6 linked regions of the Danio rerio genome follow. The main gene of each other region encodes a partner of the protein of the gene in region 2 in a complex. Links are inferred from orthologs where the notes say so. Each region holds a gene or a part of one and is shown on either strand. Other genes may lie near its edges. The genes, in order: mybl2b, lin54, tfdp1a, rbl1, lin9 and lin52.

Evidence for each region.
Region 1: lin54 (region 2) and mybl2b share a complex: the UniProt entries of both Homo sapiens proteins name them as parts of the DREAM complex. The link is inferred for Danio rerio from reciprocal best matches to the Homo sapiens genes LIN54 and MYBL2.
Region 3: lin54 (region 2) and tfdp1a share a complex: the UniProt entries of both Homo sapiens proteins name them as parts of the DREAM complex. The link is inferred for Danio rerio from reciprocal best matches to the Homo sapiens genes LIN54 and TFDP1.
Region 4: lin54 (region 2) and rbl1 share a complex: the UniProt entries of both Homo sapiens proteins name them as parts of the DREAM complex. The link is inferred for Danio rerio from reciprocal best matches to the Homo sapiens genes LIN54 and RBL1.
Region 5: lin54 (region 2) and lin9 share a complex: the UniProt entries of both Homo sapiens proteins name them as parts of the DREAM complex. The link is inferred for Danio rerio from reciprocal best matches to the Homo sapiens genes LIN54 and LIN9.
Region 6: lin54 (region 2) and lin52 share a complex: the UniProt entries of both Homo sapiens proteins name them as parts of the DREAM complex. The link is inferred for Danio rerio from reciprocal best matches to the Homo sapiens genes LIN54 and LIN52.

The regions. Positions count from the first base shown.
Region 1 is NC_133186.1:1,639,904-1,644,870, forward strand, and holds part of mybl2b (v-myb avian myeloblastosis viral oncogene homolog-like 2b), read left to right. Parts: intron 1-164; coding exon 165-350; intron 351-1,942; coding exon 1,943-2,215; exon of another isoform or gene 2,216-2,636; intron 2,637-2,697; exon of another isoform or gene 2,698-3,983; intron 3,984-4,967. UniProt on the Homo sapiens protein: Transcription factor involved in the regulation of cell survival, proliferation, and differentiation. Transactivates the expression of the CLU gene.
Region 2 is NC_133185.1:12,008,433-12,013,889, forward strand, and holds the start of lin54 (protein lin-54 homolog), read right to left. Parts: upstream 3,210-5,457; 5' UTR 2,951-3,209; exon of another isoform or gene 1,359-2,950; intron 1-1,358. UniProt on the Homo sapiens protein: Component of the DREAM complex, a multiprotein complex that can both act as a transcription activator or repressor depending on the context. In G0 phase, the complex binds to more than 800 promoters and is required for repression of E2F target genes.
Region 3 is NC_133184.1:36,652,287-36,657,253, reverse strand, and holds part of tfdp1a (transcription factor Dp-1a), read right to left. Parts: exon of another isoform or gene 3,969-4,967; coding exon of another isoform or gene 3,839-3,968; intron 2,688-3,838; coding exon 2,522-2,687; intron 2,376-2,521; coding exon 2,229-2,375; intron 2,107-2,228; coding exon 2,038-2,106; intron 1,962-2,037; coding exon 1,810-1,961; intron 231-1,809; coding exon 64-230; intron 1-63. Other genes in the region: mettl21cb (S-adenosylmethionine-dependent methyltransferase domain-containing protein), read left to right, coding at 3,839-3,968. UniProt on the Homo sapiens protein: Can stimulate E2F-dependent transcription.
Region 4 is NC_133181.1:54,212,328-54,217,294, forward strand, and holds part of rbl1 (retinoblastoma-like protein 1), read right to left. Parts: coding exon 4,877-4,967; intron 4,618-4,876; coding exon 4,472-4,617; intron 2,605-4,471; coding exon 2,540-2,604; intron 2,450-2,539; coding exon 2,263-2,449; intron 843-2,262; coding exon 676-842; intron 312-675; coding exon 199-311; intron 113-198; coding exon 9-112; intron 1-8. UniProt on the Homo sapiens protein: Key regulator of entry into cell division. Directly involved in heterochromatin formation by maintaining overall chromatin structure and, in particular, that of constitutive heterochromatin by stabilizing histone methylation.
Region 5 is NC_133195.1:46,994,301-46,999,993, reverse strand, and holds the start of lin9 (protein lin-9 homolog), read right to left. Parts: upstream 3,444-5,693; 5' UTR 3,406-3,443; coding exon 3,375-3,405; intron 687-3,374; coding exon 654-686; intron 560-653; coding exon 468-559; intron 1-467. Other genes in the region: parp1 (poly [ADP-ribose] polymerase 1), read right to left, coding at 5,612-5,693. UniProt on the Homo sapiens protein: Acts as a tumor suppressor. Inhibits DNA synthesis. Its ability to inhibit oncogenic transformation is mediated through its association with RB1. Plays a role in the expression of genes required for the G1/S transition.
Region 6 is NC_133192.1:33,275,966-33,281,508, forward strand, and holds the start of lin52 (protein lin-52 homolog), read right to left. Parts: upstream 3,276-5,543; 5' UTR 3,264-3,275; coding exon 3,245-3,263; intron 2,657-3,244; coding exon 2,582-2,656; intron 2,423-2,581; coding exon 2,385-2,422; intron 2,309-2,384; coding exon 2,242-2,308; intron 1,315-2,241; coding exon 1,231-1,314; intron 1-1,230. Other genes in the region: pomt2 (protein O-mannosyl-transferase 2), read right to left, coding at 5,206-5,311, 5,447-5,543.

The sequences.
Region 1 (4,967 bases), on a different chromosome or scaffold from region 2:
CAAATGTCGACTCCTATACTTTAGTGCTGTATGTAATTGACAGATATTGGCATCAGAACTGGAGGGACATTTATTTTCTTTTATTAAATCTGTATTGGTATCAGCCCAAATATTTTACTTTTGGTTCATCCTAAATCGATTTATATACCCTCATTTGTTGACAGGAACCTGAAGAGAAAGCCACTGCTCCTCCACAAAAAGCGTCATCTCCCAAAACCCCCAAAGCTTCAACGAGCCCCAAAAGTGAAGGCGGAGACTCCAACGTGTCCACGTGGGTGATGGACAGCTCTGGGTTTCTGTCTCCGTCAGCGGCTCCCACACTGAAGGAGGTGATGGAGCTGATGGACGGGGTGAGTCAAGCCTGATTTAGATCAGAAAATCACTATTAGAATTACAGCCGGTTGCAAAATGTGCATGTAATGTAGTCACAATAAGTAATATCAAATGATTGTGATGGGTGATGTTATGAAGCCACGTATTCGTATTTCTCAGTGACCGAAGTCGTCATAGTTGGTAAACTCAGAGCACAGTTAATGGGAGAGTACAACAAATCATTATTTTACAATTCTATTTGCTGAATTACTGAAATAAAAACTCCACGATGGTGTTATCAAGACGTTCAGAAAGAGGAAAACAATAGTGTGAGACTGATAACGGCAGCCAGAAGAGAGAATCATGTTGAATGTTGTTACTGTCCTGCCGCTATAGATTCTGCATTACCCCTACTGCTCATGCGAGGGATGCGTGTCACGATTTCGATTTTTAATTGAAATTTATGCTCAATTTCGATTATCGAATCAAAAAATAGAATCGTCGATGCTGCCACGCCCCCATGTCACATCAGATTGGCTTGCCAAGCGGGAAAAAAACAGGCTTGTTGAAGAGCTTGTTGAACTGCAGATACAGGAGACCCGTCGACAGAGCTTAAACCCTCTCCTCTTTCAATGAAGTCGCCGGTGTTTAAGCATTTTGGATTTCCAGTGAGTTATGTTGACAACGTTCGTGTTGTCAACAAAAAAAACACAGTTTTGCAAGCTCTGCTATGTACGTATTACGTACGGTTCGTCCGATAGACAACACCGGCATCGCGATCCTCCGCCCGCCCCCGTTGCAAATCCGCTGGCGAAAAGTTCACACTCAGGCCCTGTTTACACTGGCTTTGTTTTTAAATGGCATTTTAGAACAACAACGATTTGACATCCACAGTGGCGTGTAGCATTTCTGAGCAGCCCTCCTTCCTCTCTACCTCTGAAAATGCACATCACGTGACCACACAGACGCACACGCAGCCATGCGCTCGAGACTGCAGGTCCAGGCAGTCAGAGGACTGCTTCAATCTTTCACTCACTTGTACTCAGTCATTTTAGCGAACACCTCAGATACTGTTGGCTGGTTCCTGTTGGTTGTGCGTCTTTTTTACCGACGCCATTATAACGACACAGATCACTGCCTATTCACGAGTCCCGCAGAAAAAGTGATTGACAGGTGGTAATTATGTGTGTATCTTGCCTTTATTCATTTACTGTATGATTTGTTTATGGGTAAAACAAAGACCATGCAGGTCAGGTAGTTTAAACGGTAGGCTACCAATAATTAATTGGTCATTAATTAATTATTCATAATCGAAAATCGAATCGAATCGTGACTTTAGAATCGAAAATGTAATCGAATCGAATATTTGGAGGATCGTGACACCCTTAATGAGCTGTAATTCGTTTTTTGCAATTGAATACAAAGATGATACTATACATATAAATGTTCCCGTTTAAAAAAAAAAAAGTAAAAACTTTCAAGGATTTAGGATGCCGATGAGCGTCTTGTGAAAAGGGTCTAATGCAAGTGCACACACTGCAAAATCGATGCGTAAATGATATATTGTGCAGCCCTACTTCATGGGACTATTAAGTGTGTGTTGGACTGATCAGAGTGTGTGTGTGCGCAGGATCTGGAGGGCTGGTGTACCATGTCGGACTTCGACCTGCCGGAGGAGAGCCAGAGCTCGGAGCTGCTGCAGTTTCGTCTGGAGGGCAGTGCACTGCAGGAGCTCAGCAAGGGCAGTAAAGGAGAGCTGATCCCCATCTCGCCCGGCGGAGCCACTCCTCCATCCATCCTGAGTCGCCGCAGCCGTCGACGCATCGCCCTCTCGCCAGACCCCAATGACTCTATGACCCCAAAGAGCACGCCGGTCAAGATCCTGCCCTTTTCCCCCTCACAGGTGGGAAAACGCAACACAACACTAGCCATGTTTCCATCCAAAGATGCAAATTAAATGTATGCGCAAAACTGGAGTATGGCATAAAAGATTTAAGAATAAAGCAGCGTTTCCATCCAACGAGTCTAAGATAACAAAATCATCACTTCCTCATAAACTGCCGCCAAATATCAAAAGAAAAACAGAAGTTACAGTGTTGGGCTTTTTTTTCAGGGTTCCCACTGGTCCTTAATAAGTCTTAAAATGTCTTAAATTAAAATCCGGGAAATTAAGGTCTTAAATTGTCTTAAATTTTACCGTAAAGTGGCTGTAGATATTAAACTTTCAGCCGGTGTGCTTAATGACAATAGGGAAGCACAGTGGTCCACGGTAAAACATCTAATAGTTGATTAATTCAGCACTTGTAAAACTACAAAGTATAGACGCTTGCGTTGGTCTGCACCTGCGTGCTGTTATTATGCAGTTGTTGATGTGTCAATGCAAAGATGGGAAATTGTACATTTAACAACGTGGCAAAGAGGCAATGTGTAAATTCTGCAAAAAGACTTTTTCGTTAGGGACCATGGGGCTCAAAGTCGTCGAGTTGCACATGAAAGGAGGAAAGCAGCAGCGGGACGTTGCAGCAGCTAGTCATAGCAGGTCCAGGTTAATCCCTGCATTGTTTGCAGCTCGACCTAACAAAGTTACTAGTTACTAATGTTAGGCCTATAGCCAATGTTATGAATAAGTAATGTTAACCCATATAAACGACTCATTCATGAAAAAAGACAAAAGAGCTGTGTGCCTGTGCACATTTGGATAATGTCGGACTCCAAACAGGTTTGGGCTTTTAAAAGCTGTCAATCAAAATGTACCTGTGGGGTTCGGGCTCTATCGGGCCTAACTTTTATATCATGATTACAGCTCTAGTTCAGACGCCCCTTCACAGTCAGCTATAACAGTTTTATTTCACCACCAGACACCCAAAAGGCTGGTACTGCGGGTTATCCATACTGTGACGAGGCACAATTTATTTAAATCTAACGAGAACATTAAAATGAGTAGCTTATTCCAAAGAGATTATACAATTTTTGGGTCTTATATTATATTTGTTGAGGTCTTTAAAAATGTCTTAAAAAGCATTAAATTGTACTTTTAAAATAGTGCAAGAACCCTGTTTTTGTATATAATAATTTACTTCCGTCTTAGAACACGTAGACGAAACCCACTGAGCGCAGTAATGTTATCTTGCTTTTGGAGGCAGGATATCATCTTCAGATATCATCTCTATCATCACTGCTTTTTCGTATTTAACATTTAAAACCTTTCAGAGCTCATCATCCACCTAAACATACATGCCACTTTCCGCCATTTTTATCATCACATGATCTGTTGAAACAAAATCACATGAATTTTTTTTGTGTGCTGGAATTTATTCGTTTCCATTGTAGTTAATGCAGATTTTTTTATATCAGATAAAGTTTATCCTTCTCGGTTGTGTGCAGAATCTTTTTATGCAATGTATGCACATCTTGGCTTTTTCATTCAGTTTTTTTTTTGCGATTAATCCAAAGAGTGCATTAAAAATAGGTGGATGGACACACAGTGGCGCCCCCTGAGAAACTTTTCTTAGGGGTGGCCAAGTAAGACCACACCAAATCTTGGGATGGCTCACAAAAAAAAAAAATAATGAGTTGTGTATGTACTGTGAATGAGTAATGTTATATTTTTGTTTCTGGTAAATTAAATAATGAAGTTTTAATTAATTCCATTAAATACTCTTGTAACATTGTAATTTATTCCTTGAAATAATTCAGCAAGTACACGAGCAAACCAAATAATTATCAATATTTAGTTTAAAGACACCTTTCAGGCAAGTTATTTTTTACATGCTTTTATTGCACAACATACAGTATATGCCATGTCTAAAATTAATGGATATTAATGAAATAATTAATAAAACAAACCAGCAAAATAATGGAGCTGCTAAATAAACTAAATATTTATTTAATTAACTAAATAAACAATTTTTTTATTTAATTTCTGGTTTTCAATCGGATAAAACAAATGCATTTCAATAATAATCATTTCTTAATAAAAAGTGTGCAATATCAGTGAATCAGCTACGCTGATCAATCCACAATATTTAGTGGCTGCATTTTATTTATTTATTGAAATATTGTGAATTTGCGTACATATATTTTAATTAATAATATCAACAACTAAATCATATTGGGTGGTCAAATATTAATGTTGCATCACTGCTTAATATGGCTGTCAGATCATTGAAACTGTAATCTTTTATTTATTTTTTTGACACTATGTAATTTTGAAGAAGGTAATGATTCGCACTCAATTGCTTCGTACTGTTTTTATTTGTACTTTTTCTTATATTTTATGGATGATAACAGACGTTTCGGCACAAAGCCTTCCTCAGTGTGTGACACAATTCTCTAACTCCACCCTTTTATTCCATAGTCAATCACAATGTGCAATTAGTTAAACCGTCACTCTCATTTCATTATCCATTAATCACACAATAACTTATAATCTTCACAGCAATGACAATAAACAATCTTCCCATTTCCGACCTAACTCTACAGAGAGAAAGTGTATAAACTATTATCATTAATCAGGTGTACATCAATACAATAAAATTCTAACAGTTGACATTAAAAGTTTTCTACATTTGACAAATACCCAAAGATTAAAAATCACATCCTGTATAATTGGTTATATGGGTAAAGGTGAAGGTAAGACTTGTGATTTTTAATCT
Region 2 (5,457 bases):
GACTATTATGCATCAATAAAAAAGGAGTTAAACTAAAAAATTGTATATCACTAAAAAGCCTAATTTTTAAACGTTTTAACTAAATACAGAAATATTACATGATTCACATGATTAAAAACATTATTAAAATAATTCTATTTTTACTTTAGTGTGCGCTGTGTATATTAAATACATGCATGCAGCCGTATATTTGAGTTATTGTTTCATGCCTTTACTTGTATGTTAAATGTTTAGAATACAAATGATGTAAACATATATTTTTAAATATTTGATTTGCATATTTTTTTTTTATTTTATGTATGTTTACTATAAATTTTGGATGCGATTACTCAAGAATGATCAATTCCAGATTTAAAATGATCTTTAATGCCGGGAAAATAATATCCAAACATTCTTTATATTATTATTTAACTTTCATTTTGGTTTAAAATACTGTAATGTAAATATACATTTAAAAAGACCTTTAGTTTACTTTTATTTTCTTCTTTCTGTCTTCACAGAAAAATGCATTTCCTTGTTCTGTGGCATTAACTGTGATTATAACAAAATAAATTAAGCATTTTCAACCATTGTGCATCTTAAATCATCAGTGGTGTTTATTTGTCTAACAAACACTGCTTGATTCCATTATTTACAATGTTACCTCAAATAACCACAATCTGAGAATGAATCAATAACATTTACACCCATAGCAACCTCAAAAAAAGTTCAGCACTACTGCAGTTTATGAGATGTAATATTAAACATCACCACTCTGTTTACTGTAAATGTACTACACTTAAAATAGATATTTTGTTAATATTACATATGGAGAATATAACAATAGTCATGCATTTAAACTACATAACTTCTTTTTTGCCCTCTGAATAACAGGTCTCATGATATAATTCACATCAGCATCAATATCACATAACACTAACGTTACTAGTTGGTTAACTAGTCAAGTAGACCACTCAAATTCCTAATATTTAGTAAACACTGCTCAACACGAGCGACGCGACAAGTTGTGTCGCGTCGCATCCAGAGCAGGCGATCTGTTTATGTTCGGCTGCTATGTGGCTAACTAGCACAGCGGCTAACCAGCAGTTAACACACAGTAATACATAAAACAGCCGCAACAACTAACATGAACTAGCCAGAGTTTGCTTCAGAAAACTATCAATCGGTAAACAATGACAGTGGCTGGAAAAAACGTTTCACAAAATAGTGGTTTAAAAACACAACTCAGAAATGCACTTCTATGTATGCGTTTAATCGCTAAACGTTTTACCAGTTTTACACGGGTTTTATACACAGTTAAACAACAATAAGCCTCTTTGTGCATGCCTGAGAATATAAATGTGTGTATAATTATTTACCTCAACAGTTAAAAACAAGCCTGTCAGTTTCACATCTGACGGAGTTTGTTGGTATTCGACGCGTCTGCTTTCCTGTCTATACTGATGCCATTAAAATATTCATGTGTACGCGTATATTCAAGAGTTTTTGCAGATAGGGATGTTTGTCTCCAGAACGGAGTCCTGTTAAAAGGAGTTAAGCGGGCTGCGTGTCTATTTCAGGCCGGGCTTGGATTTCGAAAGATCCGCCATTTTCATCTCGTCATCAGTTCAGACATAACAGAAACAGTCGCAGGACAAGAGGAAAAAACAACAGGATTTGTTGTTTTGTCAGAGTTTGAGCTTAAAGAATGAGTTAGAAGTACAAAGGACCGTCACTGTATTCGTTTTGAGACTTAGAAATATTAATTGTTAATTTTCGTTCAAAACCCTCATAGGTTTTTCTTCACTGGAACAACATAGCATGATGGTAATCTGAATGACATCCTTGCCATTCACTCTCAATGCATATTTTTCTATTCCGTGAAAAATGACGTCATTCTTTGTAGAAGAAGAAAAGTCAGTCATGCAGGTTTTGAACAAGGGTAAAACTCATTACAATGTTCTCTTTATCTTAACGCATGCTATTATTACACTTTATATATCCTAAAGTGTACAATTACATCTATGTACACTCAAACAATTTAGTGAGAGGTGTGGTCCACAAAAGTATTTTATTTGTTAATGCTAAAGAGCAATAACTTGCATTATTTAGCGTTTATTAGCCTTAGATAATAGTCGTTTGCTTATTTAATTAGTAATGATACAGTTGGACTGATGATTACTGATGATACTAGTTCAGTTCCATTAGATGACATTTGCATTAAGGTAAAGTTGGTTTTATATTCACACATTCAGACTTTCATAAAGTTATTTTCTGCAAATTCCAAATAGTTTAACCATATTAGCAGACGATGGCTATCAGAATACAACAATGTCCACAGTCAAATAAACTAATGCTAATGTTAACGTAGTCATATTTATACGTGTACGAATATAAAACCCAACTTAACCTTGATACTTACTAATACATGTTCAAATGCAAAAGTCGTATTTGTTGACGTTACGTTAACAAAGATAAAGAAATTGCTCAAAAATATTTTGTTATCTAATATTGACAAATAAAACATTTGGCAACCGTTAAGTGTTACCAAATACATCTTAATTCATACAAAACGTATGATCTGAACTATGTAATTCCTGATGTTTTAATTAATGATACAAATAGATGTACTATTACACGCATACAAGAAATGAAAACCTCTCTATATTTACAGACATTTAATAATTTTGCTAAGCAACAGCTCTCCGCAAGACTAAAATGACAGGCGCAGCTTGCTGTCATTCTCTGGCAGGTAAAGCCTAGGGTGCTAATCAGTTAGCCACTATTAACTCCTGCAACGCATCAGCCCTTTATAAAGCTTCATATGAGTTTTGTCTATGTTGCAGAAGATGAGCAATTATTAGCAGCGATTATTCGCGAGCGCAGCTGTGTGTGTGACGCGCGGTTGAGGCAGTTCGCGGACGGACATCAGCTGACGCGCACATACACACTCACACATATATATACATACAGTGTTAGCAGCTCTGCTAACTAGCGGAGATCATATTGCCCCTCGCTGAACACCCACCCGAGCCCAAAGCACTCCTACACGGGGTCGAGATGAGTGTCGAGACGCTCTTCTGAAATCCACAACGTTTTCTGCTCGATCACGACCTGCTCGGTCCAACTCGGGGCTGCATCCTGTCGATCATCCGCTCTCAGACGAAGACGATTGTTTAAAATACCGCGCCGAGCGCCATTTCACCTCTAACATCCCATAATCAAACCACGCCTTCGTAGGAAACAACACATGACGTCACAACACAACTTCCGCGCAGATTTTTTACTGTTGTATTCTTAATATTTCATATACACAAATGCAAATTTACAAACCAGAAACTCTTCTTTTATATTTTTCCTACTGAAATGCAACATTATTTTAAGACTAATTCTAATTCTGTGACAAAAATGACGTTAAAACAACTGAAGTTTTTAAATTGTTTATTATTATCCCAGTAGTGCTTTATGAATGTAGCTCCTTTGTATATTATTGTTTTGCTTCTAACTTTATTCTTTGTATGTACCATGACTGTAATTTTTGCATTGCGCATAATTAAAAATATATATTTTTACTGATGTTCATAATTGTTATTTTTCCTGTTTATCTAAATCGTTATCTGAATTGCACAATTTTCTTAGTTATTTAAATGAATTATTTGTACATTACAAAATGTTTACAACAACAAAAGTTTACAAATTTGGGAATTGTAAGAGAACACTCTTCAAGTGTCTTTAAAGTGTTTATATTAATAATTTTAATACATATTACAATTAATTAATTTTAGAATTTTGCGTCTAAAATTAGTTTTCTAATTAACTAATTCATTTGAATTTTCATTATTCAACTCTTCAATAAAAAAGCAAAAGAATGGATTTTTACTTGGAATATTATGATAATTATTTTAGAACTGACCCAGCCGAGGCTCAAACCAGCAACTTTCTTGCTGTAAGGCGATTTTGCTACCCACTGCGCCACATATCTATTTATATATTTTTATATATTATATTATATTATATTATATTATATTATATTATATTATATTATATTATATTATATTATATTATTGTAAATTTTCTATTACACTAAAACCTGAACCACACTGTTCCAGTTACTATGACCATTTATGTGAAGCTGCTTTGACACAATCTACATTGTAAAAGCGCTATACAAATAAAGCTGAATTGAATTGAATTGAATTCATTTATTTTTTATTATTCATTCACGTTTTATTAATCTAAGGTGGCCACAGCGGAATGAATCGCCAACTTATCCAGCATATGTTTTACGCAGCAGATGCTCTTTAGCCGCAACCCAACACTGGGAAACACCCACACACTCTTGCAGTCACACCCATACACCACGACCAATTCACCCACAGAACGTATTTGGACTGTGGGGGAAACTGGAGCACCCGAAAAAAAACCCACGCCAACACGGAGAGAACATGTAAACTCCACACAAAAAATGTCAACTGACCCAGCCAAGGCTCGAACCAGCAACCTACTTGCTGTAAGGCTATTGTGCTGTCAACTGTGCCCCCGTGACACCTTTATATTATATTATATTATATTATATTATATTATATTATATTATATTATATTATATTATATTATATTATATTATATTATATTATATTATATTATATTACATATGTGTGGCTATAGTGTATGAGTGTGAACGAGTGTGTTTAGATATTTGCCAGAACTGGGTTGCAGCTGACAGGGCATCAGCTGTGTAAAACATATGCTTGGTAAGTTGGCAGTTCATTCCGCTGTGGCAACTCCTGATGAATGAAGGGACTAAGCCGAAAAAAAATTAATGAATTAATTAATTATATTATAGAGTTACTGCAGGGAAGAGTGAAGGAGGCAGATCTTTATTGATCCTTACTATATATAAAATCTCATCAGGAGGCTGTTGAGCTCAGAGTAATAATAAAATATCTGAAACTAAAAACACGAAGATGTCTGAGAAAGATTTCTTAGAGGTTCAGTTACTAAAGGTTCAGTTTTTATGTTGTCTTTAGAATATTAACTAGGTGTAATTTATTTTATCAATTATTAATTCATCATTATTCAATTAATATTACTACTAATATTATGTCTAAACCCCCCAATGGGTGTGTTGCACCTATTTGTATTGATGAATTTTAGACATTTACAATTAAAATTAATTAAATAAAATTTTGACAAACAAATTGATATAATAAATTAATTTATGTTCACATTTATGTTCACATTAATAATAATAATAAATAAAATGTTGCACACACACACACACACACACACACACACACACACACACACACACACACACATTTGATGCACAAGATTTGATTAACAAGAATTATTTATTAAAATCCCCAGTTAAATTGTATTTTATTAACACCTACCCCATTCCTAAACTCAAGCATCAAAGTGATGGTAAAACACCACGTATTACCCATATTATTCATTAAATTACCCATTAAACTGTAT
Region 3 (4,967 bases), on a different chromosome or scaffold from region 2:
TGCTGAAACTAAACTTTTGTATCAGATATAGTATCAACTGATGTGGTGACCAGTGGCTCTCACCTGTGACATAAGGCTCCAGGGCTTTGGGCACCAAGCTCCTAGCAGTCTTCAGGTCTTCAGCAGAGCACTTGCCCACCTCAAGACCACAAGCCATGCCCATGCGCTTCAATACCTCAATGTCATCGTGAATCTCAAACATGCTATCAAAGTTGAAGAGGTACTCAAACCTAACCACAAAAGGAAGCAATGAGTGAAGTGCATGAAGTGAAGATCTTCGAGATTTAATTCATCCCACAAATAAGAATGTGCAATATTTATAATCTACAATCATAATTGTTTTAATCATGAGCTGATGATATAGAAAGTTGCCAACTTGGAAAAAAATATATATATAAAAAAACAAGTCTTCATAAAGTCGGAAAAAATGCTGAATTAAAATTTGCATGGCCCTGTAATCCAAACAACTGTGATATTGCTTGTGTTGGGAAGCAAAAATTGCTTTACATTCTGGAATAGAATACTTAAGGATAGCACTCGACTTCGCTGATTGATTCATATACGCACAATACTTTTTTACTTTGTGATCTGTCAGGACTTAACATGTTAATTTAATCACTAGTATGGAAGCAATAGAGAAAAAAATGAAATAAGCATTTGACTATGGATTCTAATATACATTAAGACAATTTCTTCTTCTATGTATCACAAAACCTATTATGAGCTTTAAAGAGATAGTTCATCCAAAAATATTCTGAAAAAAGTTGTAAACCTGTAACTATTGACACAAAGATATCTTAAGGAATGCGGACATCCTGTAACCACTGATCTTCAGAATATCTTCATATTCATCAGAATATCTTCATATTCAACAGAATAAAGGAGTTTATAAAGGTTTAAAATAAATTAAAGGGTATGAAAACATTAAATAAAATTATTCTTGGGTGAACTAACCCATTAAATACAATTTAAATGTGCAAAAATTAACATTGGCTAGTGAACAGTACCAGCAAACCATTAACCTTTGATCTACATTGAGCTATGCAGCATACAGCAACTGCACCAGTAACACTGCACTAAACTTTATGCACAAGTTTTACTTCTGTCATGCTGCTTATTTGAGTGCATGACAGCTTGAAGTTAATTCATCTCAAACTGGGAATCAGCAAGAATCTGGGCTGAAAGTGATCAAATTCAAATGATCCCCCAAGTCTATATAAAAAAAACTTTTAACATAAATAATTTCATCAATGAATGGGTTACATTTCCGATGACAATATTGTTGTTTTTTATATGCTTTTTATATATGAAATGTAACTATGAATGCTAAAAAGGCATGTTCTAAATAATAATAATTTATGTGGTATGAATAAAGCATAAAAACGAACATTTTATCATGTAATTTGAACTAGAAACATCATTTGTGCTGTTTTTTTTCCATTCATAAATGTTGCCATTCTTGGTATGGTAAAGCTTAAGAACCATGCTTGAGTATCTCCCCACAAGTAGTAGGTCATCAGTATCAGTTTGTGGAGTAATGTGAATTTGGACATATTAAATACAATCTTTTCGCCAACTATAGAGTAGCAAAACATGCAATCTTGAAAACTATACATGCTTTAAACTAATCGTCTGAACAAGTGAGTCAATTATTCACCTACTGAAAGGTTTAGAGTAATTTTCCTTTATACATGGCCAAAAACTATGACAAAAAAAAAACAAAACAAACAAACATCAAGACATATTTTCTCCCCAATATCGCACACCCTTATCCACCTACAATCTACATGGCTTGACTTGAAGTCATACTTGTCATTGGAAATGCTGCAGTCAATGACTGTTTTCTTGCTGGTGTTGACGATAATAAATGGCAGGTGAATGACTGAGTTGGCAGGTGGGGGCCTTTTTGTCTGTTGTTCTCTCTGGCGGTTTCTCTGTACAAGGTTCTTAAAAGCAATTTGCTGCAATTAAAACAGTGTGTTAGTCAAGTTCATCAACATAAAATAATTCTTACAAAACAAAAGACTAATTTCTGACCTGTAATATAAGTTCTTGAAGTTGTGACTGTTTTTGTTTGATTCTCTCCAAACGTCTTTGCCTCTCCACCTTTAAAAATACCAAACATTCAGTTTAAGTACAATTAGTTTAAACTCTAATTGCCTGTACTTTCTCTAACTGTCTTAAAGGAAGGGACATAAACTTTAGTGAAAAAGTACCAGTACACCCACCTCCAGGTTCTGGCACTCCTGAGCAGAGTTTGTGGGCAGACCAATCCATTTGATCTCCTTTTTCTCTTTGGAAATTATGTTCATGGCCATCAGCACATTGAGAGCATCGTACACACGCCGTCGAATGTTCTTCTGGTCATACACATGCTGAAAAAAGCAGAAACCAAAAGCGTTGGTTTATTTATCATGTTATATATGTTAAGAAGCAAGTCTTTAATTGGTTTTAAAAGCTTCACTTCTGCACTCAACGAGAAATGCTCTGAATCAATGTCTGGCCGCAGGGGAAGGCTCACCGCATCATTAGGAGAGATATGATTATCACCAGAGCTGAACTCGGCCACAAGCTCATCAGCAACCTCGTTGTAAGTTGTGACACCCTTCCGCTGGACCTTCTCGCAAACCTTCATGGAAAAATGTCTGAGGCCTTTCCCATTCTTCTCCCCCTTCTTACCCCTTTTTCTGAAGAACAACAGATCCAACAGCAAATTATTGATATTTTTTAATTATAACTGCTGATAGAGAAAAGAGAGCAAAGCAAGAGTTTATTTTAAAAAAAAATCCAAAGTACTTATACAATGTACAAGGTGAAGTAAAAATATTCTGCCTTAAAAAAAATATATGAAAGTATGTCATAACTCGACGACTCCATTAGCAAAATCATTATTAACTTTAGTGGTAATTCACAAAATACAAACTGGCACTAGATCACAAAACCAGTCATAACTGTCAATTATTAACATTAATTATCATTAACATTTTTGAAACCTCACCAGAAAGTTGTCTAAAAATTGCTTTCCATTGATGTTTGGTTTGTTAGGATAGGGCAATATTTCGCTGACATAAAGCTATTTGAAATTATGAAAACCAACAGTTCAAAGAAAATCTAAATACTGTGAAAAATCTTGTCTAAATAATGAGGTCAGCAATGCATATTACTAAACTTAGTTTTGTATTTGATATATTTACAATGAGAAATTTACTAAATTTAAAACACTTACAGCTGTGCGAATAATCGAAATCAAACCACGATTTAGAACGTTGGAATCAACTAAATCGCAACAGGCTGAGATTCATTCAATCATTTTCTTGTCAGCTTAGTCCCTTTATTAATCCGGGGTCGCCACAGCGGAATGAACCGCCAACTTATCCAGCAAGTTTTTACGCAACGGATGCCCTTCCAGCCACAACCCATCTCTGGGAAACATCCACACACACACACTCATACACTACGGACAATTTAGCCTACCCAATTCACCTGTACCGCATGTGTTCGGACTGTGGGGGAAACCGGAGCACCCAGAGGAAACCCACGCGAAGGCAGGGAGAACATGCAAACTCCACACAGAAACGCCAACTGAGCCGAAGTTCGAACCAGCGACCCAGCGACCTTCTTGCTGTGAGGTAACAGCACTAACTACTGCCCCACCGCCTCGAGAGGCTGAGATATGAAATTGAAATTAAATGTATCAATAGAATTTCCCCCACTGTTACGTATTTTCTTAAAAAAATTAAATAATACTATAGAAATAATAATAATATAAATAAATATCCCAAGTAGTGTTTTTTTGTTTGTAATTGTGTGTTTTCTCTCCGCCTCTTTCTCCGAATAGGTTTCATTATTACCGCACAGGTGTTGTGAAGCAGGTGCCAGCATGTGGAGGCCGGCTAGTTGGTGAGGACCATTTAAACCGGACTGGAATGTCGTTCGGAGAGTCTCCTCTCTCTCGCCTTGTGTTGTGAAGTAGAAACTTTGTATTTTACTCGGATAAATAGTTGAAAGTGAATGCTGATTGTTGACTCTGAGATCTATGCGGAGACACGTGTGCTGAGGAGGGTGCCTTTTTGTTTTATTACATTTTCCTCATATTTTGTGGTTAGTAAGGAAGTAAGAGAATGTTATTTTATTTGTCTTATTTCATGTGCAGGTAAGAGGGTTAAAAACTTAGTTAGCTGTTCAGTTTTTTTTTTTGGCATTAACCTCCGCAAGCTTTTTATTGTCTCCTTTTTGAAGTTGAACATCAAATAAATTTGACTATATGTTATTTCCTTGGTCATTTGTCTTTGTTGTTGTTTTTACTTTTGAACTGGAGATGAGACTGCAGGCTCCTAATTAATTTAGAAGAGTTCTAATTATTTTTATTTAATATTATTTATTGTTACGGGTTTGGCTTGCTGTGTGGAGCCAAGCAAGATTGGAATTCGTAACACCCACCCAGAGCAAATGTGTGACTGCTGTCTGTGTGTTACAGTCTTATGATACAATTAAGTGAGCACGCTTGTGTTCTGACCAATCAGAATTATGCGACTGAACTGTGGAAGCCCATAATAAAACAAACAAACAGGAAAACGTGGAACAGTGGGATGATGCTTCAGAAGTATTAATAGATTAATTCATATTGGTAACATGGGATGATATTGGTTTCAAAGTCAGGGACACCGAACAAAAACAGGTCATTTGTTAGAGCAGCCACAGAACGAGGAAATACAACAAAAAGGCACCTAAAAAAGCATCACAGGTGGCTATATGAGGAGTGTCTCGCAAAAAAAGTTAACAGGGTATTGCTAGTGACAATGAATCTAGTAGCTATCAAAAGCAAAGTACAATTTCTAAGTTGTTTGCAGCTGTTTCACCATATGAAAAAAAACATTACAAAACCACCAGGAGATAACTAATGCCATAACTTACTGCTAAAACCGTGTGTCTTATTTCTAAATATTTATAAATAAATTTGAATAGAA
Region 4 (4,967 bases), on a different chromosome or scaffold from region 2:
TGACTTACTGCCCAGTCTTTGCCTTGTAATCTCTTCATCTCTTGAGTCATTACATTCTCCAGGATCTTAAAGTACAAGATCTCGGCCAGCTTCAGACGTTTCTCTGCAAAGTCTACACACAAGAGCCTGCACTTATTTACATGATCACACATAATGCTTTCATAATGACCAATCATTTTAGACGGCAGTAAATCTGACCCATATGTGCTCCCGGCAGGTCATCTGTGGGATTAGTGTAGGCCTGTTTGAACTTTTCCCCCAAGGTTTTCACCCGATTCAGAATGGATTCAGTGGGGTTTCGAGAACAGGAACTATTTGAACAGAAAATGAAGAATGGTTAAATAGACGTAAAGGTTTATTATTGTGAATTGTGGGGATATTCCATAGGTTTCTATTGTTTTTATACTGTACAAACTGTATTTGAGATGGCACTTCCCCAACCCCACGCTTTACAAAAAAAATGTGCAGTTTTACTTTCTGAAAAAGCTCATTCTGTATGATTTCTAAACCTTTTGAAAAATGTAAACATCAGCAATGTCCTCATAATTCACAGTCTCCTGTGTCATAATACACATTTGTGTCCACATCTGACACAAAAACAAGTTTAAAAAAAGGAATGCAAGAAAACCAAATCTAAAACTATAAGTGCATGTTTTGGTTTTAGCAAACACTTACATAAATATCTGAAGCAGAGCGTCGCTCGGTGCGTTTCGGAGACCAGACACCATGCTTTGCAGTCGACTCACACTTTGGGTGGCTGAAGAAACAGGCGTGACCAGCACTTCCTTCTCCTTTAAATACCGTCGACCCGTTAGAGGAGTAGAGGGAGCAAGGGAACGCGTCTGCACACAAACAGGAAGAAGATGCAAATATATATATATATATATATATATATATATATAGTAGGGGTGTAATGAGGTCCCATATCACGTGGTATCACAAGATTAAATCCCGTTAAGATTTCTCGTAGAGGTGTTAAGTTGTCTCGTGAGTTATGTTATGATGGAGCGTGAGGGTGAAATTAGCATTGAAGATTGGAGGCAGGTTTGGATATGAACCGCAATTCAAGTGCTTTGCACACACCTGGCAACCAGGGCTGCCTCGATGTTGCGTGTCACTCATTTGCTTGGGCGGGTGTGACGTAACCTTTTTTTTTTTTTTCCATCGAAGGTTGCGGTCTGAGCAGAGGCTACAGCTGACATGTTAAGCCGTAAAGTATTCCTATTTCAGTCACATTACTGCTGTGCAGTACAGACATGTCAACACCTTGATTAAACTATTACCATCGTGTAGGACTTTTAGCTGCATTTTGCAACAGAATAAGCCATGCATACACAGCTGTTTAACTCTAACTTTAAATTCTCTAACTTTAAATGAACTTTAACATTAATTCCCTCCATCTACTGAGTCACTAAAGGACCAGACACACACATCTCTGTGCGCACACACAAACGGGGAACTCCTAGAGGCTTGTCGCATCATCAGCGAACACAGCTTTATACTGTCCGGGAAAAGAAGTTATCTTTTCATTCATGCGGTATCAAGTCACTTTAAAACAACTCTCTCCTATCAGTACTTAATTTATAATTGTATCCAGTAGTTCTGAGCTTGTCATGGGTATTGAGGCTTCCAGATTGAATGAATAAATAAATGAATGAAAAACATGGTTTTGCGCTAAAGCAACCCAGGGTGCTGAAATATATTTGGCTAAACTGGCATTGGGCGGGATAAATGAACAAAACAAAGACAGACAATCCTGCACGTAACTCACAATTTTAAAGTAGAATATCTGAATTCATTGTTTTTCAGATAAACAATTATGTTCACTTAGCATGTTTCTTAAATACCTGCAAACATATTATGGTATTTTTATGCTTTAGAAAAGTCAAAAACTTACATACAGCACCTTTAAAAAGCACCTAAATAGTCATGTATAAAAAGACTACTCTCCATTCAAATATTAGCAACATATTTTGCAGTGTTGGCATGTCCTTTACTGCACAGAAGTCATTAAAATAACATTCATTACAAGTTGATTTAAAAAAGCACCTATATGGTTTTGCATTTTGTGATTTTTTTTCAGTTGAATAAAAGACTATTTTCCATTCATATATTTTATCATTCAAGATTTCTTTAAAATACTGCCAAAATCTTGTTTTGTTCTCTTGAAACCAATCTTGTCTCCTGGAGTAAGCATCTCATCACACCCCTAATAAATACTGTAATTACAGTGACTGTTAATCTAACTACTTTTCTTCATACCTTCTCAAAGTGCTGCTGAAGGTTGTTCTCCACCTGCATGCGGGCAGAGAGATGACCTGAAGGAGGTTCAGCGGTGGATTTGCGCGGTGTGCCGATCTCCTCGTCTGCATCAGCCCCCAAAAACACTCGCTCATCAAAATCCCCCACAGTCAAAACAAACTCCTCATAATCACGATTTATGGCTTTACTGAAAAGACAAAAATGTTTTCAAAAGCATTTAATTGCATACAACGTTTTGCATGGAAAAGCAATGTGTTCAGAAATTGAATGTGCGTACTTGTTATCTTGGAAATTTGGAGTGTCCAGTAATTCAGTCAGAGTTTCAACATCACCTTTTAACATCTGGGAATATAAGGAGGTAAAACAAAAGCTATAAATATAGAATTAGGCCTGCACAATTAGACATTTCTAAAACGAAATCACTATATAAAAAAATAAAAATTTCAAATCCCAAAAGCAGTGTTTATTTCAATGCACTAATAAATAAGAAACATAAAATTTTTGACAGTTCTGACAGTTGGTAAGCACATTACCCTGAACAATGTAAAAAAGTAACATAATCTAGAAGTGCAGCTTTTCTTGTTGACCCTTTGGTTTAGAATTCATGTTCTTTGCAGTTTAAAAGGCAAAAACATTTGCTGTCGTTGTTATATAGGTTGTCCACAGTAATGTAGGTTATCGCTAGGTCCACACGAAATCTGCACATGCAGAAATCTGCAGATTTCCGCAGATTTTTTAGCCCATCATTCAGTCAATTCATAGTGTAAATGTAAGTAAATTAAGTTTAAAAACTAAATAAACATTCATTTCATTAATATTATTGACTAACATGAAAATGTTCATATAATTTAGTTACAAAACAGTTTGTAAAGTTATATTTTGTGTATTTAGTATACTATATGAGCGACTTTCTGTTTAACAAATAAGTGGATCATATTGGATTTGCATTGTAAACATTAAATAAAAGTTAAAAGGTATATACATATACATATATATATATATATATATATATATATATATATATATATATATATAGAGAGAGAGAGAGCTGAAATTAGAATTATTAGCCCCCCTGAAATTTTAGTCCCCATTTATTTTTCACCAAATTTTGGAGAGATTTTTTTTCAAAACATTTTAAAACAAAAAAGTTTTAACTCATTTCCAATAACTGATTTATTTTATCTTTGCAATGATGACAGTACATAAATTTCCTTTCCTCTATCGCTATTAAAGGGATACTTGTTAACCCTGACACGAGTGTGTCTGTAGAGTGACTTTCCACAACGGCATTTATCACAGATCAGCTATGATATCTGAATATATTACGTGCACGACTCTTACCGCGCATTTATAATTCAATTAATTATATTAAAAAAAAAAAAATATATATATATATATATATATATATATATATATATATATATGGGCTGCACGATGGCGCTATGGGTAGCATGATCACCTCACAGAAAGAAGGTTGCTGAGTCTCAGCTAGGTCAGCTGGCGTTTCTGTGTGGAGTTTGCATGTTCTCCCATTGATCGCGTAGGTTTCCTCCGGGTGCTCCGGTTTCCACCACAGTCCAAAGACATGCGCTATAGGTAAATTGGGATAAAAATTGTCCGCAGAGTATGTGTGTATGGATGTTTCCCAGTAATGGGTTGCAGTTGGAAGGGCATCCGCTGCGTAAAACATATGCCGGATAAGTTGGCAGTTCATTCCTCTGTATAAAAGGAATAAAAGGACTTTGAAAATGAAAAAAAAAATATATATATTATTTTTTTTATGTTTTTTTTAATGTTTTTAGTTATGATACTCTCAAAATAATTCTGCATAAATCCACAAATTTTTTTACAAAGTTCTCAGCAGAAATAGCCAAAAAACATCAACAAATTCTGTCTGGCCCTAGTTATCACCAGTGTTTTAATGATGTACAATTGTTTACATTGTTTAAATTCTTTAAAGTTTAAAATTTTATATTTAATTTATTTAATTTAGGATACTGTAGTTTTTTTTTTAATTATGTTTAGTATTTCTGTGGCTCTGCTAAAACCACCACATTAAACTGTAGTTCTTTTATGAAACAGAAGTAATCGCAAATCGTCATTTTGAAAAGAAAAACTGTAATTAAATTTTTTTTCTACAAAGCATGCAGTCATATATGGAATTGTGCTGTTTTTGTTTTGGGTGTCAAAGTGCGTATATATTCCTCACTCTTTTCTCAAACAGGGTCTTTATGTAGGGCTTGAAGTAGTGCTCCTTTATGCCTTTGGCCTCCACCACCAACCCATCATGCAGTTCACACAACTTGTCAATGACACAGGGCATCTCTTTCAGGTTTTCTGTGTCTTTCGGCAGGCCTACAGAAAGGTGAAAAACAGATGTTCAGTGAAGTGTTTACCTGTTTTTTCAGACACAAAGCAAACACAATGCAATATTACGGTGAGGGAAAGACACTAAATTCAGAATCGCTGAAGAGTGTAAATCAAAACAACACAGGCATGCTTTAAAACACTCAAATATATTTAATGCAATCAATGGATTCACTTGTAATTTTGTCTGTCTTCTCAATCAGTCAAGCAAACATATTTTCTGAGATGAATAAAAGGTGACCTTTACCTCTGAAATTCTGATTGATGAGATCTTTCCTGTTGGAGCACATGAGAGCGTTGCAAAACACCAGGTCCAGACAGCAGAGGAGGAGGTGATA
Region 5 (5,693 bases), on a different chromosome or scaffold from region 2:
AATTAGCCTAGTTAAGCCTTTAAATGTCACTTTAAGCTGTATAGAAGTGTCTTGAAAAATATCTAGTCAAATATTATTTACTGTCATCATGGCAAAGATAAAATAAATCAGTTATTAGAAATTAGTTACTAAAACTATTATGTTTAGAAATGTGTTGGAAAAAATCTCTCCGCTAAACCGAAATTGGGGGAAAAAAAATAAACACGGGGGCTAATAATTCTAACTTCAACTATATATATATATATTGTTTTACATAATTGTGATTACAATTATGATCAAAATAATTATGATTTTTTTCCCATAATCAAGCAGCTGTAATTTGATTGATATTTAAATGCAGTAAACAAACACAGTAATCACAGCACAAAATAATCACAGCACAAAAGACAATCTTAGATGTAAAACTGCTACTACTACAAGCAAACCTGGAGTTGCAGCAAAATTATAAGTAATTTACAGCAACTTACTGTTTCCATAGAAACGTAACTGCTCCGTCCCCTTGTGGTCTGAGATTTCGGTAAATTATTCTTCTCATTTAGAGTATTAGACAAGCTTCCTTCTGTAGAAGAGCATAATAACATTGGGAAATGTTAGAAGGCATTCTGTGATAATGTCTATTACTGAAGTTGTGAGTGTTAAAAACAAAAACGTACCTCTTAAACTAACAAGGGCTTTAGCTGAAGAGCCTGAAGGCGAAGAGAACAAAGAGTTTGATATATTACAATACATTACAGTTTCAAAAGCAACATATGATTAAGAAGTCCAAACAAAAACAAATCTTGAAAATCAATTAATGCAACACTGAAGTAAAGTCCGATTATCAGGCAGATTAAAGGTGGTTTTAGTGCATGGTATTACAATAGTTCAGCCCCAAGGCAATATAAAGTGGTGGTTACACTTGTGTTTTACATTTAAAGTTGCTTTAAAAAAAAACAACAACAAAAAACAAAAGAATTTACGCTTCTTTTATTCATTTATTTATTTTCCTTCGGTTTACTCCCTTATTTATCAGGGGTCGCCACAGCGGAATGAACCGCCAACTATTCCGGCATATGTTTTACAAACTGGATGCCCTTTCAGCTGCAACCCAGAAATAGGAAAGCTTGAAATGTTTTTATTTTTAACTTAGTGATGTTAGATGATCAACTTCATAAACATGCTTTAACAAAACGAGGTGATCAAGCATTTGCAATTGCTCCTATCTATATTTTTTAATACTCCTTGATGCTTTTTATTGCTTTTATTTATTAATTGTTTCAATTTCCACTTTATTCTCATCTCTGTCTTTAGTAATCCTATATACAGCACTTTTGACAACATTGGTTGTTTTTAAATTGCTTTATAAAAACATCTTGTATTGTATTATTATGTTTTTTATTATACATACTTTTTGCACAGTATACTGTTTTGCATCTGCACAACTCATGTGCCCTTAAGTGTAATTGTGTTGTTTACAAATTTTTATTTTTACTTATATTTTCAGATTTTAAATGAGCAATTGTATTTATTGTATTTTCTTTCTAAAATTATACTTTTTGTATAAATATTATATGTTAGGCACCAGGGGTCTGAGAGTAACGCAATATTAATTCTCTATATGTCCTGTACATGTGGTTGAATTGACAACAAAGCTGACTTTGACTACTGTAAGAAAAATTCTACTAAAAGAAGATTTAAAAAAAGAATACGACTGTCAGTTTTTACAACACTACTTATTGTAAAAATAAAACAACCCTAACTGACTTATATAAATAGAAGAAAAGCATTGACTTTAATGCTTTAAATAACTTAAGTAATAAAATATCAAAATATGGTTGAAATAATGGTCTACTTTAAGAGGCATTTTTAAGTTCTAATTAAATATCATACTACATTCTGACCGGTACTTATAAAATTATGTGCTATCAAACTTAATTTCATTTAATTTTAGATTATTTTAAACTTTCTGTTGACAAAAAAAATGTGGTTTGAAATTAAAAAGTTACAATATAAAGATTTAAAATGAAAAATAGGCCTCACAGCAAAAAGGTTGCTGGTTCGAGCCTTGGCTGGATCAGTTGGCATTTCTGTGTGGAGTTTGCATGTTCTCCCAGTGTTCGCGTGGGTTTCCTCCGGGTGCTCCGTTTTACCCTACAACTCCGAAGACATGCGCTATAGGTGAATTGGGTGACCTTGAATTGTTCGTAGTGTATGTGTGTGAATGAGTGTGTATGGGTGCTTCCCAGTGATGGGTTGCAGCTGGAAATAATGCCCTTTTTTATTAATGCCCTTTTTACATTTTATTAAATTTAACACAACATTCTGACCTGTACTCATAAAATGATGTGCTATTAAACTTAATTTCATTTCATTGTAGAATGTTTTGAACCTTCTGTTGATCAAACAATGTGGTTTGAAATAAAATAAAACTAAAAATATAAAGATTTAAAATGAAAATTAGTATTTAAAAGAGCTGCACAGCCATTCTTAAATTGTTCTTGAATAATGACATCATATGATTCTTGATCTAAGCCTGATGAGATAAACTATTGTTACACCAATAAGATTTTAGTGGTTTACTTCTGATAATCCTTGTAAAAATGTATGATAGCCTTTTTTATGCTTAAAATTTAGCAGGACGTTTTATTGTTCAGTGAAAAAAGCTGTAATATGTTTTTATTGTTTTGATACTTTAAATAAAGCAAAGCTAGAAATAAATAATAATCTTTCTGCAATTATAAGCTGCTCAAATATTAAAAGTAATAATTATCAAGCAAGATAACAGACGACGGATTACGCAATTATCCCTATTAATACAATCAAAACAAAGCTTTCGGTAAGACCGAAAGAAAAAAATCACTGTGAATTATTGTGATGAATGAGAATTATCCAGACACAAGTACTGCATCATACAAAGAGCGCATTTTCACACCTGAAGAGTGTTTCAGCATATTAAAAGTATGTGTTTATCATACGGACAGTGTTTTAGTACACAAATAAACTGACACTGACAAGAACAACAAAACCCAGCAGCTGTCATCGAGTTACGACCCTGTAAATGTATAAAAGTTAAACCCTTTTCATAGTATAACCACTGCGAAACCGCAAACCAGTAATTAAATTAATTTTGATTATAAACAAAGCACCATAACGAAACTTTAAGGCGAAAAACTCTTCAGGTGCGATATTTATTTATAGTAGTAGGCTTTGAAAGCTAACTGTTAGCTTGTTAGCCTCAGCGCTAATAACTTTGCGTCTATTTTAACACCAGTCAAAACAATGAAAGACACGTGAAATGTACGGCGAATAGCACGCCTTATGAAACGTTTTAAACCGCACAAACACTCAGAGGGGGATTTTTCAAGGTTTAGCGAGGAGTTAGTTTTATTACTCACTCTCGTCTAACAGCTGCTCGAGCTCCGCCATCTTGAATTAGCCGCGCCGGTTTTTCAAAGGCCGAGTGCCGAGATGCATTGTGGGACAGAGAGGGCAGTTCAAACACACCACAGCGCTCGCTAACTAACAAAACATTTTACATTAAATGTGTTTGCTGTACATAAATATGATTCTTAAAAACAAATTACGACCCATGAGGTAAATTAGATTCATTTGAGAAAGTTTCTTGTAGTTCCAAGCCGTACAAAACAAGTTAAAAGATGTCGTCGGGACCAGGCTTCAGCTGTGGTTCAGTGACTCCTATGAGACACAGGGCCCGTTAAAGGATCTCAGGATCACCAACAAACAAACAAAAAGAACATAAACAAGGTGTAAACTGTATATTTATGTATTAAATATTTTAGATGCATTACATATTTACACTAACTACAATTTTATTAAACAAACGCCAAGTTGCAGAATGACAAACTAATTGTACTGCATTTAACATTTTAAAACAAGTATTATATAATAATCATGTTCATTTAGCATGTGTTTGTACACATTTCACTACAAATTAGTATATTATTAACATTTTATTTTCCCATCAACGTTTGTTCAACAAAATTGAGTCATCTGAGTTAAACTAAATGCTGTTCTTTTGACATTCCCATTCATCAAGGGATCCTGAAATACACAAGATTCCACAAAATACCATACAGTTCAAATGTCATCAATATTATGAAAAAATAATCTCAATTCAAATTAGCAGAATTACAATAGTTTAAGGAAAATCATGTGACTTCGAACACAGAAGTATGCTAATGCTGAAAACTTGTTTATTTCTATAGCACTTTTATGATGTGCATTGTATCAAAGCAGCTTAATGTAGAAGTTCTAGTGAATTAAAAATGTGTCAGTCCAGTTTTCAGAGTAGAAGTTCAGTTCAGCTCAGTGTGGTTAAATTTTTCACTGCTGAAAGTCCAAACACTAAAGAGCAAATCCATTGATCCATATCTCCGCAAGTCCCAAATCAAGCAAGCCAGTGGCGAGAAACCAAACTTCACCAATTGATGAAAGTGAAGGAAAATAATCTTGAGAGAAACCAGGCTCAGTTGAGCATGACTATTTCTCCTCTGGCCAAACTTCTTGTGCAGAGCTGCATGCTAGGTACCGGGGCTTGAGAACGCTGGATGTCCATCGCAGAGAAGCTGCAGGTGTAGGTCACTAGCGGGTGATCAGGCTGGCCCCTGGGATCAATGCGAAAACTCATCTGTCCCTCAGTTTTGAATGATTGGAATAAATATTTAATAATAAAAAACACATTAAAAAAAAATATTTTATTATATTTTTTGACCAAAAAAGGTTATTGTAGTGAATTTTATTTATCAAAAGTGGTAAACCCTGATTTTATTAAATTTTTTTAGTATGATTTTATTTACTTGTATTTAGTTGTATTAGGACATTTTTGCAATCAAATACCACCCCCCGAAAATAAAACAGCTTCAAGCACAATAATAAGCCAAAAACCGTTTTATTTTTGATGCAAAGACATTTTTTGGGAAACTTATTTTGTCCACAAATACTGTGGAGAAATGTTTGCCAAAAACAACAACAAAACTTATTACAGGTGCGTGAGTACAGCAGCTTAGATTTTGATAGCCATTTCAAATGGCCCAAGTACGTTTCAATAAGGGACAGTAAACTCAAAAAAGCAAAACTAGGTTGGTACATGTTTAACATACAAAATACTTGTTCATACATTGGCAATTCTAGTAAAAGATTACTCGCTTGCAGCAGGCTATATCCTAGCTTACAACATTTTTTTCCTAAAACTGTACATTCTTATTTGTTTTAAATCGAGAGGCCGAACAAAACCGTAAACACTACATGTGTTACAAGTAACCTGAATCCAGGTTTAGCAAAACTATTAAAAGAAAGAAAAGGCCTATGAAACATATGGAAGACAGTCTACCTATCCACTGTTGGTAGCTTATAAAGAAACATTTCACAGAGAAGTCCAATCATGTTGCTTGTAGAAAGGTGGCCACATTTGCAACAATGCAGTTTGTGATTTGGGTAGAACCACTTAAAGTACTCCAAACTAACAGACTAGAGCAATGGGGAATGTGCTGCCAAAGCGCAAGAGAACGGATTTAATCATTTCTAAACCCATGTGCTGTTTGGTTCTTGATGCTAAAGCTGTAACAGGGGGATTCAGTGGCATCCAAAAACCTCTCCAGATCTAACCGGCGTCTCACCACAGAGACGTCTGATAGTTGAAGCGGATCTTCAGCAGGTATTTCAGGTTAACCTGAGAAACATCATAAACGATGTAC
Region 6 (5,543 bases), on a different chromosome or scaffold from region 2:
AAGCAGACTAAATGTATAATTACACACTGTATTAATGTATGCATAAAAGGCAGCATGGAAGCTTCATCCAAATGTGGCTTATTAAACCCAGATACAATGCTGTAGATATGACATGATGGATATAGAAACTCAAGCTACTCATATATGAAACTAAAAAAATTAAATGTAACGTATACTGTCCCTTAAATATCTGCTGAGTAATAAAAAGGTAATATTTACAACTAAGAAATTATAAGAGAAGTAATATAATAATGTGATCTCAGTTTACCATGATAAGAACCATTATTCAATTGATACCGGTTTCATCATACATTTTATTAAGTTTGTGAATTTCATATTCACAAATATAGTAATATTACAAGTGCTTGAGGAGATTAAAATGTTAATCTGAATGAATCTAAATCTAAAAACTACTAACGTTATTGAAACAGTTGTGCATGTAAGAGTTTTATCAAATAAAATGGTTCATGTGCTTAATTTTAAATCAATATAAATGCATATCTTTGAATTATTTAAATTAACTGATGCTTTTTTTATCCTCTCTCTGTAACATTATGGAAATTATTCAAAATAGTAGAGTAAAAATCAAGTAGACAGAAAAGCATTTGACTGATTTTTCTCATTGAAGCATAGTTTGTTGAGGGCTTTCTGAGGGACATGCCACACAAAGGTCAAATCAGCAGAAGGAATGTAATACATCTGAAACGAGTGTTCACCAATGGTCTGCAGTACTCGCTTTCAAATTGTGCGATGTTTCGATGCCCATTTTCATCTAGAAAATAACTGAAACACTTATCTTTCCTGTAATCCTGCCTGCGTGGATTAATGCTACATCTAGCAATTCTGTGATATAATATTACAGAGACACTGGGCAACAAGCCAGTTCTGTTTAAATATAGAGTGGGAATTCATTTGAGACTTACAGACTGAAATAAACGAATAGAACATAACAAATAAGTGTTTTTTCCACACAAGGATTCAGATGGATTTAGGCTCCAGACTACATATAATGAATTATTTGTTGTATTGTCTTTTTAACTCTATCCTAAATATCACAGCGGCAAAAAACATGAAAAATGTCTTTATGTATTAAAAGCTGGGTTTGTGTTTGTCAGTAAGTTTTATTCTTTTTCTAATATCGCCATCTAGTGGATGACTTACAATATACCGTAACTAGATAAACAGTGTGAACTAATGCACTATTTCTGAGTTGAGTAAGACATTACTTACACTCCTCCAAGCCCAACTGGTAAGCCAGATTCTGCAGACCCTTCACCTTTTCCATCAAATTTGCTGTGGTCAAACTTCCTAATTCTAAAAAAAAAAAAGCCACAACAAACAAGTTACAAAAAATAAAATAAAAATGGACCAGAACCGAAACAAAATATTATACTGTAGCTTTTATAAATTCCAGGGTTTCTGCAGGTTTCACAAAGTTAAATTTAAGACTTCAAGACATTTTCAAGACCCTTATGAATGAAATTTTAGACTCATAAAGGACTAATCGCTAAGGAATTTTTCATATGGCCCAGATGGAAAAGATTTTTCATTTGCCCCATCAAAAAACGATTATATATTAATAATACAATTATAATTTAATAATAAAAAAATAAATATTTTAGATATTTTTTATAAAAATATTCAAATATTGTTTAAAAACAAACAAGCTCTACTTGTATACATACACTTTATTTTTCCAACATAAACTTTCTTTACAATAAAAAATGAATTAATGTTTTTAAAGTTTTAATATAACTAAATCTATGCAAAACAATCTGTCCAGGTCGGTGTCCTCAGCAGCAAATACATGGAACACTTTTTAACAAATATTATGTATTTTGAGGAAAATAATAAAACTGTTATGGTAAACAGAGTTAAAAATCACCTTTTTATATAAAAGGTTTTATTGAGATGAATTGTTGGTGATCGTATAGGACTAATGGCCAGACTGCGTAGCGATACATAAACAAAGGAAAATTAAGACCTAATTTAAAAAAAATTTAATTTAACATTTAGGAACTACAACACAATATTTCAGTAAATTTAAGACATAAAAATGTAATTTTGAGGTTTAAGACATTTTACGACTTTTTAAGACCGCGCGGACACCCTGGAATTCACCAAGCAACTCATCTAACTATTATTAACCTATTCTACTAAGCAATATATAGAAAGCATAGATAAAAGACTAAATGATACATTAAAAGACTTGATATGAATACTACTTTAAAAAAGGCAGACCTTTCAACATTTCAATATCCTCTGACTCCAGTTCAGCCATCCATTTGGGTGGAGAATTTGTAATAGGCTGAAATAACAAAAACCAAGCCTTAATTTCACATCAACTTTGAAAAGTATTCATTATCATTTGAATATTTACTCACATTTTTAAAGGATGCTGCAAATTCTGACACACCCGGCACTGTTAAAAACAAAGCGTTCAAAAATATGACAATGTGTAATAATCAAATGTAATTTCTATATTTCAATCAGTGCATTTTTTTTTACATATATTTGGAAAAATATGTTAATGTGTCATAAATATTAGTCCAACTGAATAAGATTAGAGAGTCAAACTTACACTGCTCTGGCCACAGGTCAGGTGAAGCCCGGTCAAGATTTTCTAAACTTATCAGAGAAGATTCAAAGTCCTCACCTACACATTAAAAAGATAAATGCTCTATGGTCAGAGAAAACTCATCAGCAACAGGATCAATAAACCTGAAGTACAATAAAAAATGTTAAATATACACAATTTCAATTTTAACATAACTCAGCTTAGATGACGTTACAAAAAAAAATCTTCTGTCACATATTATTCAAGGTGTAAAATTAAGCTGATGTTATGACAGAGATATTATGTTTACTCAGCTGCTAAGTTACTCAAAGCTGAGCTAGCTGCATTGAGTAATCTTGTCACAAAATAATGAGTTACATAACTAACGTTAAAGATAAAATCACGACACACCAAAAGTAATATGTCTTCGCGTATTTACTACACTATTACATTCGTATTAAATTATTACTACACAACTGATGTCGTCTGACACGTAGCTTTGCTAATGACTGGCTCCAAACAATTTTATGACGCTATTCCGACTGAAAAGCTTATTTTGATTCAGAATCCATCAGTTCTTTATAAAAAATATGCTAAACCGCATAATGATTTATATGACTTAATTAGTCCGTTGCACTATTGCGTTAACAACTAACGCTGCCAGGGAAAAGAGGAATTAAAATTTACCTCCATTCGGAGACGCCATCTTGACAACAACACACGTGATTCTAAGCAGCCAATCACTGGAGGTCTTGGATAAAATAGCCACACCCTCTTATGTTGTAAAATGATGTCGCAATAATTGACTGAAAAATATGAATATAAATATTATTGACAGCACAAACCTTTTTGTTGACCAAACTCTTCTCAGTTCTATGTCAAACAAAGTGATTCTCTTTATTGTTAACAGTTCTCTGATCTCTTTAATGGTCTTTAATGGCCTTTTCTTGATATTGATCTTGGATGGTATTCGGAAAAAATACATATTTTTATCTAATAAAGCTGTTGAAGTCTCAATCAGAATCATTCATAATTGCTACCCAATAAACAACAAACTAGGTAAATTTAATAACAATATTTCCTTCAAATGCTCATTTTGTACTCAATATGGTGAAACACTAAATCTTTTTGGCCTATTTTGGGAGTGCACTTATTGTAAAGTCATTTGGGTTGACTTTTCCAATTTCACAAAAATTGTATTATTTCCAAACTTTTGTATTTCCCACAAAAAATTATATTCTTTAGATACTTTCTGAATTCTTGTAAATTTGTAATTAATTGTTTCCCCCCCCCTAAAATTTACATCGATAAATGTAAATTTTCAAAGAAACACCCTACTTTTTTATTTTAAGAAATTACTTTATATGTGAACTCTTTAAAAGACCCTAACAGTTATATTGCATGTAAAACACTTTCTTGGTGTAAATCATTTAAACTTGTTTAATTTGCTGGAATTTTAATTATGAATTCATTTCTGTCTATTTGTTTAAACTGTGTCTTTGATAACGTTCTTTCTTGCAAAATAAGTAAAAATATATATGAATAATATGCGAACATTAATATGTTTAGCTTTCATACAGAGTACTTGAGTAGTATTATGATAGTGTTAATATAATATAAGACTCAAGACTCAGTCAGGCCAAAAAACACAGCAGAACAAACTTCTGTACAGCTACAAAAAAGGCAGTAATTATAAATAGACCAAAAATAAAAATTATTGGTAAACATAAACAAGTCTAGTTTCAGCACATTTTAACGTATCATATCAATATTTTTAACAGAGTGTTCATTTTATTTATTTTAAAACACTAAAGAAACATCATTCATTCACTGTAGCATTATTACTTTGATCAACCCATTTTCAAATGCTTTGTACATAGCATTATACGAAAAGGCCCATTTAAAAGACATTAAAAAAGGGATGGTATTGTAAAACTGGTTGAAGAAATAACTATCAACACCTCTGTACAGATCATGTCTCTAAAAGACAGAAGGTCACTTTATTATACTTGGAAAAATAAAATAATTAGTAAAATTAAATAAGTAAAATTCAAGTATAAATACAGAGCTCTTACAATGTTGGTGATTAATGAAAAACATATATATTTTCAGTCAATTGAGCCAGAAAATGTGTTGGTATCAAATGCAACACAACCTAAATCCAAATAAATGCACCTGAGTCAGTCTGTTTACAATTTGCATTTAAGACAATAATTTAAAGACAATATTGCAAACAATTTTTTTATCAACAATTCAAACACGAACTCAACTGAACTTTTCAGGAAAGACTGCTCATTACATTACAGTTTTAAAACAGAAATGCTATTAAACATTCTCAAACTGAAATGATTTAAATACAAACAAAAAGGTTAATGCTTTATACATCAGCATCTTCAAAACTAGAAAGGCACTTCAATGTTTTTTTAATAAATTTATTTCAGTCCAGCTACAGCAGTTGCACAACATCAGATTTTTATGTAAAATACATGACTGTAAAATATCGTAATTTTATACAATACAAAAATACTATTTAAAAATTTTCAACAGCCTAAAATCAGACTAAATGCTGTCCTTCAACACGGAAATGTCAACATGTAACAAATGAAATAGTTTTGAAAACATTTTATGAAAACACTTAAAACGTTTGTCTAAAACTCCCAGGATTCCATCCACCTGAGGCCGGCCATGGAGGAGGCAGAGTCATGTGCCAGCGGCCCTCTCATGCCATAGGAGAGAGGGTGGAAAAGATAAAAGCTGAAAACAGACGACAGCGGAAATATCAGGTTAAGTATCAATATTAATAATGTATAAAATAGGACTTACTTTGTAATTAGTTACATATTCTGAAAGACATGAGCCTCTTAAACAACTAAACTTGTAGATACTCACCTGTAGATAAACCCTAAGAGGAGCACCGACTGACCTCCCCTCATCAGGTAATGAGATAAAGATGAGCTAAAGAGAAGCTGCAAATTCTGAAGGAGGA